Linked DNA regions of Nothobranchius furzeri. The protein of the gene in region 1 interacts with the protein of each later gene in a biochemical or structural test. Links are inferred from orthologs where the notes say so. Each region holds a gene or a part of one and is shown on either strand. Other genes may lie near its edges.

Evidence for each region. The genes of interacting proteins can lie anywhere in the genome.
Region 2: the proteins of map3k5 (region 1) and calcium and integrin-binding protein 1 form a complex in vitro, tested with the Homo sapiens proteins (2 studies listed by BioGRID and IntAct). The link is inferred for Nothobranchius furzeri from reciprocal best matches to the Homo sapiens genes MAP3K5 and CIB1.

Annotation. Positions count from the first base shown.
Region 1 is NC_091742.1:11,510,407-11,514,401, forward strand, and holds the start of map3k5 (mitogen-activated protein kinase kinase kinase 5), read right to left. Parts: upstream 2,801-3,995; 5' UTR 2,589-2,800; coding exon 2,165-2,588; intron 1-2,164. UniProt on the Homo sapiens protein: Serine/threonine kinase which acts as an essential component of the MAP kinase signal transduction pathway. Plays an important role in the cascades of cellular responses evoked by changes in the environment.
Region 2 is NC_091744.1:74,254,119-74,257,632, forward strand, and holds calcium and integrin-binding protein 1, read left to right. Parts: upstream 1-1,334; 5' UTR 1,335-1,546; coding exon 1,547-1,597; intron 1,598-1,840; coding exon 1,841-1,875; intron 1,876-1,970; coding exon 1,971-2,070; intron 2,071-2,181; coding exon 2,182-2,335; intron 2,336-2,416; coding exon 2,417-2,535; intron 2,536-2,642; coding exon 2,643-2,731; intron 2,732-2,814; coding exon 2,815-2,836; 3' UTR 2,837-3,006; downstream 3,007-3,514. Other genes in the region: RCC1 domain-containing protein 1, read right to left, coding at 3,135-3,301. UniProt on the Homo sapiens protein: Calcium-binding protein that plays a role in the regulation of numerous cellular processes, such as cell differentiation, cell division, cell proliferation, cell migration, thrombosis, angiogenesis, cardiac hypertrophy and apoptosis.

The sequences.
Region 1 (3,995 bases):
CTGCAGAAAAACTCAGAAAATCCCTGAATATGGGTTTAGCAGCAGGGACACGCATATAAATAGAACCGCATGTCCAAGGATTGCTGCATAAATCTCTAATTATATAAATCTGAGTAGAAAATTGTCTCACTGCAGTAAGCCAGCGAGTTGACGACAAGTAAAAGATGTAGATAAGAATAAAGTCCTCAGATATGTCAAATGTTTTGTTTTTCTTTTGGAGAACAGAACAAAGAAACGTGTGCATAAAACTGAAACATGAATGAACTGACTAAGACGATGGAGTCAAACTTTTGCTTCTTTATCTTGTTTTTTTTTATGGATCCGAGCCTGAAGACTTGTCCTTTTTTGTGCGCAGCATCATGTGAGGAGGCTGTTGGAGGACAACATGGAACGCCCTCTATTAGAATGTGTCAGAAGTCACAGCTCGTCCTCGGAGCTCATTGTTCTGTGCCCTCTCGTGCACATTTGCGTAGGAAAACGGATGAAGAAGTACAGCTAAAAGCAACTTTTCCGGGAAAATGCCTCGGCCCTCCCCGGTGCACCGGGAGTTCTGTAGTTCTGAGAAAGATGACAAAAGAACACGGGGAACTTATTGCACCTGGAACAGCAAGAAGCAACAAGCCCGTCAACTCGAAAAAGTAGCTAAATTTTTACGTTTCCTGCTATTCCTGCGTGAATCTCACCAGGATACAGAAACGAGCCTAGAACCTAAAAACAGCTTTAATTTACATGAAAGGGAACATTCATATTTACACCTTTTTCCTCTCTAAACACAGTTTTTTTTTAAATGGCACCAGCTTTAATTTATCTCTTGCATCTGCTCAGTTTTGACATTTAAAATGTCATTTACACCGAGGGGAACGCCGCCGCTACTTTATGACTCAAAAACAATAGTTTGTTTTAAAACTATCTAAAGAATTATTAGCCAAGCTCGCTGCAATAAAAAGTGTTTTTAATTGTGGCTTCATAATCAACACCCCAACATTATACCGCCCTGTTCTTCTTCTGCTGTGAATAATGCAGAAACACATAAGAGAACTAGACATGCATGTTTCCAATAAGCAGCTGTTATTCTATTTTTGCTGATTAAAAAAAATGTGCACATTTAAATATGGAAAAATCCCACAAGAATAGTGGAATTTATAAGAAAGAATGAGTCAATAAAGACCTATATGACTTTGAAAGTATAAATTATCCACTTATCATTTCTCCACACTTACAGGCTTATGTCATTATTGACGTTTGGATTTTCTGCTGACTGGAAGCCAGTTAGTTAATTTATCTTGAGAAATCAATTAAATTTTTTTACTGAGTCTCTAACAGCAAATCTTCCATTTTTGCATCATTCTTGGATACATTTAGCCAAACTGAAATAAATAAATGACTCAAGTGATTATTTTCTACCTCTTCAAAAGAAGAATCCTCAGATTTGTTGTAATTGTTCCAGGTAGGTGATTGCAATATTGGTCAACTGTTGCAGCAGTTGTGGCATTTCCCATCCTTAACAGACTTAATGGATTCATATATTTTGTTTTTAGAATAAAATAAATATCAGATTTTCCCCCTTTTGCCCTTCAGATAAAACTCCTGTAAGGGGAATTCTGTTGTAGGGAGAGGAGTTAAGCGTGTTTAGGCTGGGTTAGATAAAACTTCTGTTTTCTGGAATATTGAATGTGTTACTTTAATAGGATGTGTGGGTCGGAGCATTGGTTTTATCCTGGCTGTCTGCAGAAGGACCCTTGATTTTACGATGAACAACCGAGTCTGCAACGCTTTAGCATTTTATAATGCATCAGCTGCAGAGCCCCAAACTACAAATATATAAGCAAAAATACAATTAAATGCATGTATTGCATTGCAGTTGATAAAATGTTTATCAGATCATCTCTGGACTTCAGTTGAAAGTGACCCTGTGGATCTCTGAAGAAATAAAACCTCCACTTTTGTAAATGAAACAGGAAAAAACAGCCCTGAATGTTCATGTCTTCTGTTTGAGCTTAGACGACTTGCAAGCTTCATGTCCAGACATGCCGATCTGGGTGTGCGTGCGCGAGACGAACCCAGAGCAACGTGATTTACTGGAGATGAGGTGAGCACAGAGGAGATGTGACCTCAGACCCGTGCGTGACTGGAGGCCTTTAGGGACCCACAAATTTTGACTCACCTGCGTTGTAGAACCGGTCTAAAACTGTGGTCTCCCCAAAGTCCAGCCTCCCAAAGTTGACAGTGTCCAGTTTGCTGCCCACCCGGTCGCACGCGTCCTTCAGACACTGCAGGGCCATGCTCTCCGCGTTGTTCTGCGGGCTCGCCTCGCCGTTCACCACGTAAGCCACCGTCACCGGTCTGCTTTTACCGGGCTTACAGGTGGACAGCAACCCCCCGCCCTCCATTAGCTCATCCCCGGAGGTGGGACTGACCCTGCTGCCTGGGAGCAGCGGGTCCTGCCAGAAAGTCCCGGCTGCTGGGATCCCGGGAGCGCCGCCGCCTCCTCCAGCGCCGGTGCTGCTGGGATGTTCCCCGCTGACGGTCTCTCTGCCGGAACAAAAGCTGGGAACCGGGAATGAGATTCCGTCCTGGTCTAGATTCATCTCGTTTCAAGTGTCAGTTAAAGAGTTGATCGCAGTGAGCGGCTCCTCCAGCAGTCCTCCATGGAGAGGCGGCGTTACGCACGGAGCTTCTGCGCAAACACGACATGCGACTGAGCGTTTCCACGCGGGTAAACAGCCTGCTAGAGGCGGCAGGGGCGCAGCTCCGCGTCAGGCTGCATGTTTCTGTTTGATGACGCCGAAAATCAACCGAAGTCAGTCACAACAACAAAGCGAAGGAGGAGAGGAAAGCGCAGCGAAATCCGCGCCACATTCCGCCTCAGCTCGACAGATTCCTGCGCTCCTCTCTCCCACAGCACTTCTCAAAGTTAGGCAGCGGAGCAGCAACGCCCACAGGAATCACCAACGTCACAGCGAGTCGAAGTTGGAGCTGCGCTACGTCATCTTTTATAAGAGACAGAGAGAGCGTGCGCATGCACTGACAGGCGCCTCGAATTTGCGGGCACACCCTGCCCGTTTCTGCTGTTATCTCTCCGAGCAGACCCACGCACTGGGCGGGCAGACAGCTGTAGGAGCTGGGTGGAGGCTCGAAGCTGCTTCAGGACACCAGAACAAGCGCACCTTCTAAAACCCATCAAGTTTCACACCAGAGCTTCATGAAAATGTCATTTAACATTCTCCCTCTCCTGATAATAACTTTTTGCTTTCCTTGACGTTGGATGTGCTACTACTAGTTTATCCGTTTAATTATAGATCCACTAGGATACATACAATAAAGTTTATCTCTCACCAAATAGAATATTTACTAAGACATCACAATATAACTATAGACACATTACTTTGTGTGTGTGTGTGTGTGTGTGTGTGTGCGTGCGTGCGTGTGTGTGTGTGTGTGTGTGTGTGTGTGTGTGTGTGTGTGTGCGTGTGTGTGTGTGTGTGTGTGTGTGTGTGTGTGTGTGTGTGTGTGTGTGTGTGTGTGTGTGTGACTGCTCTATCTTCTCGATCCCCAGTGAGTCATAGAGGATGGCTGCTTATACTGAGCCAGGATTCTCTGAAGGTTTCTTCCTGTTAAAAGGGAGTTTTCCTCTCCACTGTTGCTGCATGCTTGCTTAGAGGATTGCTGTATAGTCACTGACACTAGTCAGTGACTTGATGCAATTTTCTGGGTTCCTTATATAGGAAACATTATTTCTGATTGGCTTAATGAACTGACCTGAATTGGAATGTTTATTATGTGAAGTGCCATGAGACGACTCTTGTCGTGATTTGGCGCTATATAAATAAAATTGAATTGAATTGAACTGAAAATAAATCTAGTCCCTTACTGTTTTCCCCCCCTCCGTTTGAAACTTTCTCTGTTGTTGCACAGCAACGTAATGCCATCGCCCAGGCCCTATTCCAGGCAGGAAGCCCATTATCAGTTCCGGCTCGTGTGTAAAACCTGTAGAG
Region 2 (3,514 bases), on another chromosome or scaffold:
AACCTGATCTGCCTCGCTCAACTGTCTGTAGAGGATTCTGAAGACGTCTGGATATTCGTGGTGTTGGTGTCAGGTTTCGTGCTTTTTGGCCTGAGTGGTTACCTGACTTACCGGAAAATTAATGAGCTGTCGAGGAATATTGGCTCGCTCCCGGAGCTCAGGGATGGATTACACCACGCTGTGAACGCATAAACTCATATAATTGTCGAGATGAGTCGTAAGCTTGGAACTTTGGCTGAGATTCAGACTTTGGCACAGAAGGTGGATTTGATCAAGGAGAAAGTTGACGGATCAGCACGGATTGGGATAGATAAATTACGCCATTACTGGATTTAGAGGGGTTGAGGACCAACAGAACTTTAAGACAGAGAGGAAATGATCTCTGTCTGGCCCCAAAACAAGTTCTTATCTGAATCTGGTGTCCTTGAGCCTGTGAGGCTGAAGAGATTACTCCCCCTCAGAAGAAATGTGGAATGCTGCCATCGCCATGGTAACTCTGTCTCCCTATCCCAGCCTGGGCGGGACTGTGACCGGTGAAGGCCGTTGAATCGCTCTCTAAACCCAACTACCTCCCTCCCCTGTCCAAACAGAGGTGACGAGCGCTGTTTATCATGGCTGCATGCACTGATGTGTGGACAGTCCCCAACCCTACCTCCCCACCTAGTGGACACTTATGTTGTGTAATGTTTGAAGTCTGTTGCATTTCTGTCTGAGGTGTTTTTTACATAGCGAAGCTGCCCCCCTGTGGAGGGTAACTCTGAAGTGCCTTTTTTTTCCTCCACCTGACTCAATCCTTATATATAAACCCTCTGATCTCTATTAAAGTAGCACCACTCGGGTTGCGAATGACCACAGTCACCAATTCTTGTCATGTGTCTATGACTATGTATATATGTCTGATCTCAGAATTGTGTGAACTGAAACTCTAATGTCCCTCTGGGATTAATAAAGTATCTTTGAATTTGAATTGAATTGTCTTTCATAAGATGTTTTTTAAATACTAGTATGCACTGAGTAAAATTAGCATATTTTCTCACAGTGAATTACCTAAGAATTTTCATAAAGCTAAAAGGATAAATTATCAAGTTTTAAATAAAAATGAATGGCAAGTGCTTAAAATAATAAAAGTGCATGTTTTTTCTTTACAATTATAATAAAATTATAATGCACTGATATGAAGTATTTTTGGTTTTAGATAATTCAATAAAAAACAGACCATTTCTTAAAATAAATGCTCCAAAAGTTTTTAATATTTGACAAATAAATAGTTGTAACACCAGGGTTATCAGAGGAAAAGTAACTTAACGTGTGTGCTCCATGAAAGGGGCAAAAGAAATGTTTTTTTATTTTACGTCATTTCAGCGTTGGCATTACATGAACGCGCCCAAAGATACGGGAATGCGCCTGCACGAACCCGGAAGTAAGCAACAACAAACTAGCTTCGTCGCCGCTCACCGAGCAGCGGATTATTATTGACCACAGTGACATTTTAACAGTCTTTGCTTTCAAATATATAAGTCAAATATTTTAATCGAAAAAGTTTGAGATGGGAACTACAGCGAGTCAACTCGGAAAGGCTGACCTGTCAGAATACCAGGTAAGTGTTTATCGTGTTATTTGCTGTAGTCCAGCAAATGCTGAAAACTTAGTTTTACAGAGTATATTTATACTAATCACACTTATCAAAGGTTTTGAGATAAATACGAAATTAGTCAGAATTTCAGCCAGGATAAGAGCAGACGCTTGTTGCATAGAAGCTAAACGTTGGTAATGCTGATAGCTTTGAATCAGAAAGGGGCTTGTTTTGACTTGTACTCATCTACAGTACATCTGATTTTAGGAGCTGACTTTCCTGACTAAACAAGAAATTCTTCTGTAAGTTACAGGTTGTATGACAACTAAGAAAATGTAAACTATTCTTATAGATCATGGGATAGATGTCTGATTTATTCCTGTTTTTTCCTAATAAGTGCTCATAAGAGATTCACTGAGTTGCTCCCCAAAGAGGAAAAAAACTCAACAAATGCCAGAGTTCCAATGACAAAGATTCTCACGCTGCCTGAGCTGAAGGTAACAGGAAATTTCAGTAGAAGTGTGGCAACGTTTCTATTTATTGGTGTAATCTTTATAGAGGAAGTGGATGATCTAATAAAGTGAACTTTGAACTTGTTCTCGTCCTAGTCTAACCCTTTCAAGGAAAGAATCTGCCTGGTTTTCTCAACAACTAACCCAAACGATGGAAGCTTCAGCTTTGACGATTTCCTGGATTTTTTGAGTGCCTTCAGTGACTCGGCTACGTTGGAAATAAAATCCCACTATGCTTTCCGTATATTTGGTAAATGTTGATAAAACACGAGCTGGTCAGTTTTTTCTTAGCTGCACTGATCTTGTCTGATCATTAGCTTTATATTTTCAGACTTTGACAATGATGGGACCCTCAGCTGTGGCGATCTGGAGAAGCTGGTTGACTGCTTGACTTATGAGTCGGAAGACTCGCGTCTAACCACTGAGGAAATGAGACAGCTCATAACTAATGTGAGTTCACTTCGACTGTTTTTTTTCTCTCAAAGATGCAAGAAGCACACTCCAAAGAGATGCTCTGAGGCATCATCTGGGCACAAATGAATCTTGCTTTTGTTTAGATCCTTGAAGAGTCAGACATCGACAAGGATGGGACGGTGAATCTCTCGGAGTTTCAGCATGTCATTTCAAGATCTCCAGACTTTGTCAGGTGGTTTTCCCAAAATAATATCTGACACATAAATCTTGAGGAAATGTTTTCTAATCATCACAATTGTTTTTTTCCCCCCACAGTTCTTTCAAGATTGTGCTGTGAGGCCTTGGAAATGGCCAACTTTTAATTTTGTTTTTAGTGAAAAACTATACTTGCCTTTAAATTTTACTTACTTCTGGATTTTACTCTTATGATTTTATGAATTGTTTGTGAAATTTATATATATATATATATTTTATAACATCTTTAAAATAAAAGTTTAAGGTATTAGATTACTAAAGTTCTTCATTGACACAAATAATTTATTACAAAACATTTTCCACAGCGTAACTTTCTGATGTAATTTAGACTTCCTTGTACGCCGACCAAAGTCCAACGTGGGGGCAGATTCAGGGGATTGTCAGGTATTTTTGAGATCAAGTACTCCCTTCTTGACGGCGGCAGTAAAAGTGTTCCACGGCCCACACACCACATCGACAACATGCAGGTCCTTGGCCTTAAAAAACTCCACACGTCGCGGTTCGTCTAAACTGTTAAATGTCTGGTGTCCAAGTTGGCCGTATTCTCCTGGGGGACAAGAACAGAAAAAGAATAGCTTAATATTTGCTGATAATATATTAAATTTCAATTTGAGTTGATATCCTGTTGTAAGAATAGAACAACTTTATTGTCTGACACCAAGCGGTTACAGAAATTTGTCTTTAAGAGGGCTCATCGTCATCCACCTCATCATTCACACTTTCATAGAACAGTAAATACAATAAAAAATCATAAAAAACT